Sus scrofa: one gene and its partners. Each later gene encodes a partner of the first gene's protein in a complex. Links are inferred from orthologs where the notes say so. Each region holds a gene or a part of one and is shown on either strand. Other genes may lie near its edges.

Evidence for each region.
Region 2: the proteins of MAPT (region 1) and PIN1 are in contact, whole or in part, in an NMR structure (PDB 1I8H), measured with the Homo sapiens proteins. The link is inferred for Sus scrofa from reciprocal best matches to the Homo sapiens genes MAPT and PIN1. Residues at the interface, in NP_058519.3 of Homo sapiens: Val546, Arg547, Thr548, Pro549, Pro550, Lys551, Ser552, Pro553; in NP_006212.1 of Homo sapiens: Arg17, Val22, Ser32, Gln33, Trp34.
Region 3: the proteins of MAPT (region 1) and YWHAZ are in contact, whole or in part, in a crystal structure (PDB 8QDV), measured with the Homo sapiens proteins. The link is inferred for Sus scrofa from reciprocal best matches to the Homo sapiens genes MAPT and YWHAZ. Residues at the interface, in NP_058519.3 of Homo sapiens: Ser637, Cys639, Gly640, Ser641, Leu642, Asn644, Ile645, His646, His647; in NP_001129171.1 of Homo sapiens: Glu14, Leu43, Ser45, Val46, Lys49, Arg56, Arg60, Lys120, Arg127, Tyr128, Glu131, Gly169, Leu172, Asn173, Val176, Glu180, Ile217, Leu220, Asn224.

What each region holds. Positions count from the first base shown.
Region 1 is NC_010454.4:17,120,843-17,124,486, forward strand, and holds part of MAPT (microtubule-associated protein tau), read right to left. Parts: intron 3,465-3,644; coding exon 3,411-3,464; intron 1,591-3,410; coding exon 1,325-1,590; intron 1-1,324. UniProt on the Homo sapiens protein: Promotes microtubule assembly and stability, and might be involved in the establishment and maintenance of neuronal polarity.
Region 2 is NC_010444.4:68,725,815-68,730,032, reverse strand, and holds the end of PIN1 (peptidyl-prolyl cis-trans isomerase NIMA-interacting 1), read right to left. Parts: intron 2,192-4,218; coding exon 2,081-2,191; intron 1,186-2,080; coding exon 1,076-1,185; 3' UTR 562-1,075; downstream 1-561. UniProt on the Homo sapiens protein: Peptidyl-prolyl cis/trans isomerase (PPIase) that binds to and isomerizes specific phosphorylated Ser/Thr-Pro (pSer/Thr-Pro) motifs.
Region 3 is NC_010446.5:36,002,934-36,006,577, reverse strand, and holds part of YWHAZ (14-3-3 protein zeta/delta), read right to left. Parts: intron 3,378-3,644; coding exon 3,254-3,377; intron 1,813-3,253; coding exon 1,649-1,812; intron 1,568-1,648; coding exon 1,472-1,567; intron 1-1,471.

The DNA of each region.
Region 1 (3,644 bases):
CAGCCAGGCCTCCCCTGGGCAGGAACCTTCGGGCCCCAAAGATGGAAAAGGCCAGCAGGTGGCCCTGAGGTTCCACGAGGAGAAAAGCTCAGCATTTCAGGTGAGGCACCAACATGGACCAAATGCCACGGACGGACTATGAGACACCCTCCCTCCTAGACACCAGGGCCCCAGCCGAGAGGGAATAATAAGATCTGGAGTGCGGAGGTCCCTGCTGGGGCTCCCGGCTGAAAGGGATACATTGGCTTGGGCTTCTGTAAAGCTTTCCCTGCCCACCAGGAGGCTCCCTGCCCTGAAAACGGCCCAGTCTGGAAGGCCCAACCCAAGAGCAGAGTCTTGGTCCTCTGCTCCCCAAACCCCTCTTCTCCCTTCTCTGTTCCCCTCCCTGGTGCTGGGTGGGAGGGCTGTTACTGTGTCTCCCCAAATTTGCAGGCTGAAATCCCAACTCCCAGGACCTCCAGACAGAACTATAATTTGGAAGAGGGTCTTACAGAGGTCATTAAGTTAAAATGAGCTCATTAGGGTGAGCCCTGCTCCAATATAACTGGAGTCCTTGTAAGAAGGGGAGATTAGGACATAGTGACACCCTGAGAAAGACCATGTGAGGACATGGGGAGAAGGCAGCATCTATGAGCCAGTAAGAGAAGCCTCAGAAGAAACCAACCTTGATTTGACCTTGGGCTTCTGGCCTCCAGAACCATGAGGAATCACACTTCTGCTGCATAAGCCACCCAGCCTGTGGTATTTTGTACACCAACCCTGGGAAACTCATACAATGGTGGACCCCGGTCGAGGCCAACCCCAGCTCCCTCCAGCTCCTGCCTTCGGAAGCTCATTTTCTCCACCTTTAGGAGACCCAAAGATATCCTGAGCGCCCACTTGACCCTGGAAGAATCACCCATTTCCCCAGAACAGGGACCTAAATAAATGTCGAACAAATGCCAGACGTACTCACCTGCAGACTGGTTGTGTCATGTCCAAAACACAAGGCAGCTGGGGAGCCCCTCTGGACACCCCACTTTGAGAACTCCCGGGTTATGGAGCTACAACCCTGTAATCTCTGATGGGGGGGGGGGGGTCTGGAGTGCGCAAGGTAAGAAACAGTGTTTCCTCTTCCAGGGCAGGGGGCTCTTGGCCTGGTGGTGACGCCAATAAAGAACTGAACACAACCCGACTGCCTTCGCGGAAGAGGTCGGGGAGCGGACTGCGCCATGGGGGCAGCAGCAGAGCCCCTCGCCCGCCTCCCCGCCCGCACGCCCTCTCCTCGCGCCCCAGCCGCTGCTGCTCGCACAGCGGCCTCCCATTGCGCCTCCGCAACACCTACCTTCCCGCCTCCCGGCTGGTGTTTCAGGTTTTCGGTGGAGCCGATCTTGGACCTGACGTTCTTCAGGTCTGGCATGGGCCCGGGGGCAGTCTGCAGGCGGCTCTTGGCTGCAGACGGCGACTTGGGTGGAGTGCGGACCACTGCCACTTTCTTGGGCTCCCGGGTGGGCGGGGTTGGCAAGGATGGCGTGCGGGAGCGGCTGCCCGGGGTGCCTGGGGAGCCGGGGCTGCTGTAGCCACTGCGATCTCCAGACTTCCCAGATTCACCTGGAAAGTTAGAGAAGGACTATCTGTCTCAGGTCCTTTCCCAGACTCAGGGCTGGATCAGCCAGGCGGGAACAAGGTTGGAAGCTCTGTCAAATCACCAGGAGGCGGCCCTTGATCCCATTTCTAGGGAAATGTCTCCTCTGCGCAGCCTTGCTGCTCTGGGACGGAGAAATTCCGCTTCCTGGGAAGCAACAGAGTGGTTGATCCCAGAGGGGGATCAACCCTGCTCCATGGCCCTGGGGTCAGGAGAACCTCCAACTAGCTGTGTGGTTTCAGACAAGTCACTTCCCCTCTCTAAGCTCTGGGAATACAACTTGAAGGTGGAACTAACTGTAATGGTGAGCGAGGCCAGGTGGGGATACATGGTCTTTGCCAGGAATAAGGGTGATGCAGTGACTGGCTGCCCACCACCCTCTGGGCTCTTTAACCACAGAGTGAATTCTAAGCTGTTCAGCAAGTTCAAGTGCCCTTTTCCCTCAGACCCCTGCTGGACCTCCCAAATCCTCTGTGGTACCTGGGCTCCAGGACAGAATGCCTGTTTTGTGTCCCTCTGTCCCTGGCTTTCTAAACAAGCCATGCCGCTTCATGCTGCCTGCCCACCCCAAGGACACCTCCCCGCCCCCACACACCAATGCACGACAAATAGCAATGCACCTTTCCAGACACAACATGGGCACCAACCTTCAAAGAAGGCGCTGGACCCCCTCTCTGCCAGCAGACCCAGCCCCGGGCTCCCTGACAGCACCTCTTTCTCCTCTCCTCATCCCCATCTCCCTTCAATAGCTTGCTCCCCCGTCTGCCTCTTGAATCTGTATTTCCACAACTGTGGCCCAGGCAGCCCTGCATCAGAATCTCTGGAGCTGTCGCACAAGAGTGGGGGCCTGTAAAGATGCAGATTCCCAGGGCCCCATTTAGACCCCAGAGGGTGGGGTCCTCCAACACTGGTGCTTCCCCCCGCCCAGGGATTCCTGAGCAGAGTCTGGGCTGGAGACTCTGCCCAGGACGGTCCAGGTCCCCTCTCGCTCTGAGTTTGGTGGCTGGCTCCCAGCTTTCCACAGTGACGCCCCTGCTCCAGGGACCATCCCTACTGAACAGGGAACTGCCTGGCCCCGAGCTGGAGAAGGACGGCTCTTTGTTGGAAGCAGCGAAAGGCTAAGTTCTTGTCAAAAGGGAGAATGAGCGCACGGTTTTTAGAGTTTGAATCTCCATGTCTTTTGGAAATCCTTCAAGGTGTAAAGCTCTGTGGCAACAGGCCTGGGGAAGCTTTCAGGCTCAGCACCTCCGCCACTGTCACCCAAGCACACAGGCGGCCGGTGGACCCGGCGGTGGCTTCCAATCTGTGCTGCACCACTGAATTGCAGAGCGACCTTGGGTGAAGTCACGCAGCCTCCCTAAGCCTGCCCTCATCTGAAAAGGAGGGCAGCGGACCCCTCAGGCTGGGTTTTACAGACCGGATGTAGGAACGGGGTAGTGCCCAGTGCCATGGTGCATGTGTCATAGATGCCAGTGGGGATGTCACACCTAACCTGGCTAGAACAGTCCAAACCTCCAGCGCCCACAAGCAGCAGGAGACACTCACTCCCCTGCCCCACCCACAGCCCTCGGCTGAAGTGAGTGAGAGCACGCAGGGTTAGAAAGGCCCATCCACACAAACCACACAAAAAGAGGAGCAGGAATTCTCGCTGTTCCAACCTCAGGCTCCATGCGTGAGACCTATGTTTCAGAAGCAGATCCTCCCGGCTCTAAAAAATCTAAGCCAACCAACAGCCACAGGAGCAAAAAGGGGTGAGCCCCCCTGGGCGAAGCAGGCTCAGAATTACCTCTCTCAGTTATTGCCCCTGCAGGGGGTGGTTTTTTCTGCACTTGCTTGGTCACTTAAAAAGAAAAATCCACAGAAGGCCTTGTTATCATCAAGCTTAAACAGGTCTTAATGAGCTCTTCACGCAGCAGGCACCCCACCCTGCTCCGGGGGGTCATCCACAGAGAAGAGGTGCAGTTGGGTTCAGGGACCTGGGGCCCTATCTGGGGTCTGGCAGGAAACAAGGCCAAGGGGC
Region 2 (4,218 bases), on another chromosome or scaffold:
TAGTTGAAGTGGTGCGAGTGTGCGTGCATGTGTGCATGGGTACAGAGTGGTGGTGGTGGTGGAGATGCCCAGAGCACCGAGATTGGCTCTGATGAATCCAGAGCTGTGCGGTCAGGGCCCTTGCATTCCAGAATATTCTTTTTTTTTTTTTGGCCACCCAAGGCATATGAAGTTCCTGGGCCAGGGATCTGATCTGAACCACAGTTATAACCTATGCAGCATCTGTAGCAAGGCTGGATCCTTAACCCACTGTGCCAGGCTGGGGAATCGAACGTGCGCCCCAGTGCTCCAGAGAGGCCGCTAATCCTGTTGCACCACAGCGGGAACTCCTCTAGAATATTCTTGACCACCCAAGTTTGAGGACTTCTGATACTCATCAGTGCTCTACTTCCGAGAGTCTGGCTGCTGCTAGGATGCCCCCAAGCCCAGGATGAGGAGAGGCTTCTGAGGGAGGAAAGTGCAGCCTGGACACTTGGACACAAGGATGGCAGGAAATGATCACTTCCCCAACAGTGTCCCACCCACCTCAGCAGGGAGGAAATGAGACACGGGACAGTGGAATAGTGGTTCCAGGTTTAATTGAGGGTGGAGAGGGCGCTGCACTGCTGTGTAGAGAGAGCCCCGAAGCAGCAGGCAGCCTGGGCCCCAAGCGGAGCATCTGCTTTTTGCAATTGAAAAGAGGAACATGGCATAACCAGAAACAACTTAAGGCCCTCCTGCCCGCACGCCCCCCCACCCCCTTCCTGGACCTGGGGGAACACAGGGGGTGGCTCGGCTAACTAGGCCTTCTCTTTGGGACAGGTCACCCCCACCTGCTGGGTCTGGGAGCCTGGAGGGCCTCTCCACCCCAGGCCCTTCTGAAGTCAATTCCTAAAAGGGAGGGGAGTCTGGCAGGGAGACCCCGATGGTGAAGAGCCCCCCTTCCAGCCATGTTGGGATCAATAAATACTGTGTGACGTTAGCAGGCAGGGGGACCCACAGGTCGGCTGGCAGCAGGGAGCAGGGTCTGTGGGCCCAGCCACCCCGTCCCGCCCCACCCCACACCGGGAGGCCAGGCCTGAGCTGTCCACACCCCTCACTCCGTGCGCAGGATGATGTGGATGCCGGAATCCGTGAACACGGGCCCGCTCATCTCCCCTGTCCGCAGAGCAAAGGAGGCGTCTTCAAATGGCTTCTGCATCTGACCTGGGGAAGTATGAAGGCTGGTGTGTGCGGGGGGGTCAAGACCCGGGCCTGGGGCCAGGACCGGGCAGAGCCAGCAGATGGGGCGCCCACATGCCCGCCCCTGGCCCTCATTCAGACTCATCTGTCACAGGTTTATGGCCCTGTCAAGGGGCCAAGCTGCGGCCCAGCTGGGGGCGGCAGGGCTATTAAGGAGGCCCCAGGAAGCCGGAGGACAGTGTGAGGGATGGCAGGCAGAGCTGCAGCCTCTACCGTCCACTGAAGAGATACTTTTTAGTAATGAACTGATCTCCCTGGGCCCGGTTCCCAGCCACTGCCACATCACTTGTCCTACCTGCCTCCTGGGGTGGTCCGCAGCCCCTTGCTGGCTCCCTGACACCCCTCACCCCATTCTGGGCCCCTGATGACCCTGGGGATGGAGGGGGAAGGAGGCGGTGGCCTGGTTCCCTCTGCTCCTCGCTTTCCACAGTCTCAGCTGCAGAGGCCGGAACTCAGCGGTTGCTCACCTGACCTCCCTCCTCCCCTCACCCTGTTGTTCCCACCCACCAGGGGAGGCAAGGGATTCTGGGCCTCCAAGGGCCCCAGCCTGACATCTCCAATGGGAGAATAGGAAAATGTCAGCAAGCACCCACCCTGGTGGGCCTGTGATGGGGCCAAGTGAGCAGAGAGACACACAGACCGCCTCCCCACCCTAAGAAAGAAGGTCATTGGGAGAGGGCTCTGCGGCCGCCACTCCAACAGGGGAGCCTATGAAGCTCGAGGAGGAACAGTGCTGCCACCTGGTGGACCCTAGAGGCCTGCGCGACAGGGGCCAGCCCACCCTATCTCTAGGTGGGGGGCAGGCGCTGGTGGGTTAGGGGTTCCCGCCAGGGTTTGGTGGTGCCCATTCCTCGCGCACCTCTGCTGAAGGCACCCAGGTCTCCCCTGGCCTTGGCGGAGTTGCAGTCGCTGAACTGTGAGGCCAGAGATTCAAAGTCCTCCTCTCCCGACTTAATCTTCTGGATATAGCCTGCAGGACACACCGGGAGACCTCCACGTCAGTGGCGGGGCGGGGCGGGGGGAGCTCCAGGGAGGGCGGCAAGGCACTCCCTGTGCGCATGCGCAGTCACACCTGGAGTCGCAGGCACCCACGATGTGGGGCTTTTCATGTGCATGCACACCGCGACCCTATGGTGACCTCAACAGCCAGCTGGTCTCACACCCCATTCAATGCATGAGTCTCCCCATAATGGGCGCCTGTATGAACACGAGTACGCATGCGCGCACACATGAATGCTCCGTGAAGAGCATAGCTCTTCCTGCCCCTTCTCTCGACACACACGCTATGAGAGAAAATCTTCCTCCGGGTCGTGTTAGGGAGGATAGCAGGATACAGGACAGATGTTAAAAAGGGTCCCCCCAGGGGCCTCAAGGCAGTGGTAGGAAAGTTTTCTAGAGGCTTCTAGGAGAAAGGCAAGAAGGCCAAGGCACGTGCCCAGTTCTGCCATAGGAGACGGCCAGGTCCTGGGCCCATGGGTCTCAGCTGTCCCTTCTGTCCAAAGTGTGAGAAAGGCCAGGGCCGCTCACCAGGGCATTGCCAGGGGACCCAGAGGCTGCCAGGCTGGGGCTCGGAAAGGGACGTGCATTGTTCCACGGAGTACGCCCTAGGGGCGGCTGACAAGACTCTTCCTCCAGCTGCCCTGACAGGGTGTGTTGGCAGTGTACCACATTCACCCACCGTATGTGGCCCGGACTGTCCCCACTGGGGACCGATGCTCCCTGGAGGGACAGGGAGGCTGGGCTCTGTGAGGGGAGGAAAAGATGAAGGACTCCCAGTAGAGGGCGCCAGGGGGCAGCAGCGAGCCCAACGCTAGCCTGGTGCAAACTTCACGGTCTGACCTCAATGTCACTTGTCATCCATCTATCTGCCCCAGACGACCAGGACAGCACTCCCTATCACCCTGCCACCCCAACCCCATCTCGCTGCACATCAAGGCTGCAACCGCCTGTCCCAGCATCTGCTTTGCCTGGCTGGTTCCATGGCTGTCCCTATAACCCCCACCTTCCCTGTATCTTGGCCACGCTCATACTGTCCTGACCACCCCTCTACCTCTGAGCCTCAAATGTTAGTCATCTGCCAGCAGATAATGCACTGACACACAGCACAGTGCTCGGCACAGAGAGACACCTTGACAAAGCACACTTGCTGTTGCCATTCTGTTCTCCCTTCTGTGTGGGCTGCCAGCCAGTGATGAGGCTGTCCCTACTCTCCCATCCACCCATCCCTGGTCCTCCTGGTCTGCACTGGCCGTCACCTTGACATGCTGCCTGTCAGACAGGCTCTCTGATGCAACACAAAAGCCCCAACCTCTACGGACTGCATGCTGCAGTGGCTTCTGCTATAATGTGCCAGTGTGCTCGGACCACCCCTCTGGGGCTCCCAGGTGGTCCCCCTAAGCCAGAGGCATCTTCGAGTGACTATGATCTGAGTGACTCTGGGCTGAACAGGCTGTCACTGGGATATCCCTCCCCGACCTCCTCTTCTCCCTGGATTCTGGTTCTCTCTCAGCCTCACCGGGGCAGCAACAAGATGGCCTCTTCCTCGCTCCTCTGTCCAGACCTCGGTAACGCCAGCCAGGGAATCCTGAGTGCACAGTGGCCCCCAGTGTACCTGTCCACCTCCAGGGACTCTGGCGAGGGCACCATTTACACCTGGGGAGTCAGGCCCAGCCCTGTATAAGCACCCCCTTGCTGCATCCTCCAGCAGCTGGGGGTGTGGATACAGCCACAGGATCCCCAAGACTAGATGGCCTGTCCAAGGTACATACACAGTGAGTATGTACAGGCAACAGCAGCCTAAACACTGACTAAGAGACAAGCTTTTGCCCCCTCCCGTAGTTCACAGCACCCAAATCTTCTTCTGATCGGCCAACTCCCTCAGAAAATATCCTGCTTGGATGGGAGCCTGACATGATTTCTAAAAAAATTTGTTTCATGGTTAAGGTTCTAGCATTGTCACTGCTGTGGATTGGGTCACTGTTGCAACCCGGGTTTGAT
Region 3 (3,644 bases), on another chromosome or scaffold:
ATTCCTAAGGTTGTGTGTTAATACTGGTCAACCGGATCCAGACTCAAAATAGTAGACAGTTTTAACAAAATTTCTTTACTTGACAGATGAAACGATCCAGTCAACCTATAATGATAACAGACAATACAACCAAAGCTCAGAGAAGATTACATAGTAAATGGTGACAGAATCAGAATCTGAACCTTGGTTTTCTTACTCAGCTGTTGTATGCTATGCCATACTGATAAAATTCAGCTGAAAATATCTATTTCAGATCAAGCTTTCTCAAAAAGTGGTGTCAAAACAATTCAGAAGGGACTAGGTCTCAAGTTATACCTTTTACAACATCATTTCAAAACAGAAAAATATGAAAAATTATTAATATTAAAATTAGCTAACAAAATGCGTCTTCCATTTGATATATATAAGATTCATTCTTTTAAGAAATTATTTCAGTGTTTAATAACAAACAAGTACACAATACCATTCAAAAAACTGCTGATAACATTCAACACTAGAATGTGTAACTGGTTCAGAAAATTGGTGATGGATTAGATAAAATAAAGCTGGAAAAAAGTGAAATATATAAAATGATGATGTACAATCTCCAAGAGAAATGGCCCTCAAGCTAACAAAAATCAGTAGCACTAGACTATAATCGTTCCTAGCTCTTTACCCAGCACAGGGCAGATACTTGACACTTAAAAGCTAAACTCTCCTGTGACTACATGGAAAAAACAGAATCAATATATTGAAATGAAAAATAAAATGAACTATGTGATTGAAAGTTCAAAATCTTGAATTAAAAAATTATTTTAAAAACAAAATTTTGGGAGTTCCCATTGTGGTTCAGTGGGTTAAGAATCCAACACAGTGTCCCTGGGACACAGGTTCGAGTCTTGGCTTCCCTCAGTGGGTTAAGTATCCAGTGTTGCTGCAAGCAAGCTGTGGTGTAGGTCACAGATACAGCTCCAATTCAGCTTGTATCCCGAGTTGCTGTGGCTGTGGTGTAGGCCCACAGCAGCAGCTCCAATTCAACCCCTAGCCCAGGAACTTTCACATGCCGTGGCTGCAGCCCTAAAATGAGAAAAACAAAACAAACAAACAAACAAACAAAACCCAAAATTTTAACAATGGGTATATAATTAATGAAAAGGCACATTTTTAGTCCTCAGTCTAATACTGGTTTCTGTAAGGTGGTTTTCTTCACAGTTTTAACAGTTTTAACAACAGGTAGATCTTACACTTGTCTTAAAAAAAACAAGGTACATACTTTATTAAGTAACTTTATTGATAAATTACCAAAAAAAATTACAGAGACAAGAAGTGAACAAATGCTTTTGAGAAAATGGCACCCATAGACTTGCTCAACGCAGGTTTGCCACACACCTTCAATTTGTAAAAATTACAGCATCTGTGAAGTGCAGTAAAACAGATTTGCCTGTAATCTCTTCAACTACATCAACCATTAATGATACTGTTATGTACTTACTGTCAAGTTGTCTCTCAGTAATTGCATTATTAGCGTGCTGTCTTTGTATGACTCTTCACTTAATGTATCAAGTTCAGCAATGGCTTCATCAAATGCCTATGATTAAAATAAAATACATTTCAGTGCTCAAATACTAGTGATTACTGAATTTCCATGTAACATGTAAAAAATACATACTGTCTTTGCAAGAGAGCAGGCTTTCTCTGGGGAGTTCAGAATCTCATAATAGAACACAGAGAAGTTAAGGGCCAGACCCAATCTGATAGGATGTGTTGGTTGCATTTCCTTTTTGCTGATTTCAAAAGCTTCCTGGTATGCTTGCTGTGACTGATCCACAATCCCTGGATGATAAAACACACCAAAACATATCGATAAAAGTTTGCACTGCACCTTCACTCCTCAAACTAAACCTTTACTGTCCAATGATAAATTTTGAAATAAATTTAAAAAAATAAGCTTCTCCTGGAATACGCACTAGCCAATGACCAACGTTAGGGCAACATCTCTGTAATTATCTCAGTATTATCTTTAATAATTAGTTTGTGCTGCCCTACAGTTACACTGTAACTACTGCTTCTTAAAATTGTGAGGAAACATTCCTATACATAAAATTGGCTTGTCAGTGAGCATACATTTTACAATACCAATTATCAGGCAGTAAATACACAGTTGACCCTTGAACAAGGCAGTTTAGACTCTCCACATGCAGTTGAGAATCTGAGTATATTTTTTGGGGGGGGGGTCCTCTTTTTTTAGGGCCACACCGGAGGCATATGGAGGTTCCCAGGCTAGGGGTCAAATCAGAGCCTTAGCTGCTGGCCTATACCACAGTCGCAGCAACTCCGGATCCTAAACCCAACTGAGCAAGGCCAGGGATTGAACCTGCCCTCTCATGGATACTAGTTGGGCAAGGATACTAGTTGAGCAAGGCCAGGGATTGAACCTGCCCTCTCATGGATACTAGTTGGGTTTGTTAACCACTGAGCCATGACGGGAACTCTTGAGTATAATTTAAAAGTCGGGGAGTTCCCGTCGTGGCGCAGTGGTTAACGAATCCAACTAGGAACCCATGAGGTTGGGGGTTCGATGCCTGCCCTTCCTCAGTGGGTTAACAATCAGGCCTTGCCGTGAGCTGTGGTGTAGGTCACAGACGCGGCTCGGATCCTGCGTTGCTGTGGCTCTGGCATAGGCTGGTGGCTACAGCTCCGATTAGACCCCTCCTAGCCTGGGAACCTCCATATGCCGCGGGAGTGGCCCAAGAAAAGGCAAAAAGACAAAAAAAAAAAAAAAAAGAAGTTGGCTCATCATATATAGGATTCAACCAATCTTGATTTGTGTAGTACTATAGTATTTATGGGGAAAAAAAGTCCCTGTGTAGCTCAAACTTATGTTGCTCAAAGGTTAACTGTATAGCCTCAGGACTTCTTTTATTTTTTTGTCTTTTTGCCTTTTCTAGGGCTGCTCCCGAGGCATATGGAGGTTCCCAGGCTAGGGGTCTAATGGAAGCTATAGCCGCCAGCCTACGCCAGAGCCACAGCAATGCGGGATCGGAGCCGCATCTGCAATCTACACCATAGCTCACAGCAATGCCGGATCCTTAACCCACTGAGCAAGGCCAGAGATCGAACCCACAACCTCATGGTTCCTAGTCGAATTCGTTAACCCCTGAGCCACAATGGAAACTCCAGGACTTTATTTTTTAAAAAAAGGAAAAAGTCCACTACTTCTCTTCATTTAACTGTTATTTTATAAACTTGCAGCAAAAAGGTCAAGGCAGCATACCCTTCTTATCATCACCAGCAGCAACCTCAGCCAAGTAACGGTAGTAGTCTCCTTTCATTTTCAAATAGAAGACTTTGCTCTCTGCTTGTGAAGCATTGGGGATCAAGAACTTTTCCAAAAGAGACTTGAGAAGAAAAGAAAGAGAGTCATAATTAAGACTAAAATATTTACAAAAACTGAAAGAATCTGCATTTATTAAGAGCATACTATAGCAAAAGTTTTAAAACTTTAATACCCAGTCATTGCCAATAATAACAATTTTTGAATGCAAGCGACTCATAAATTTGTGGCTTAAAAGCAGAATGCTTTAGACAGCAATACTTAAAATTGCCCTCTCTCACCCATAGTGCTATCAATTTACATACTGATAAAGACTGTATGTTTCGATGAA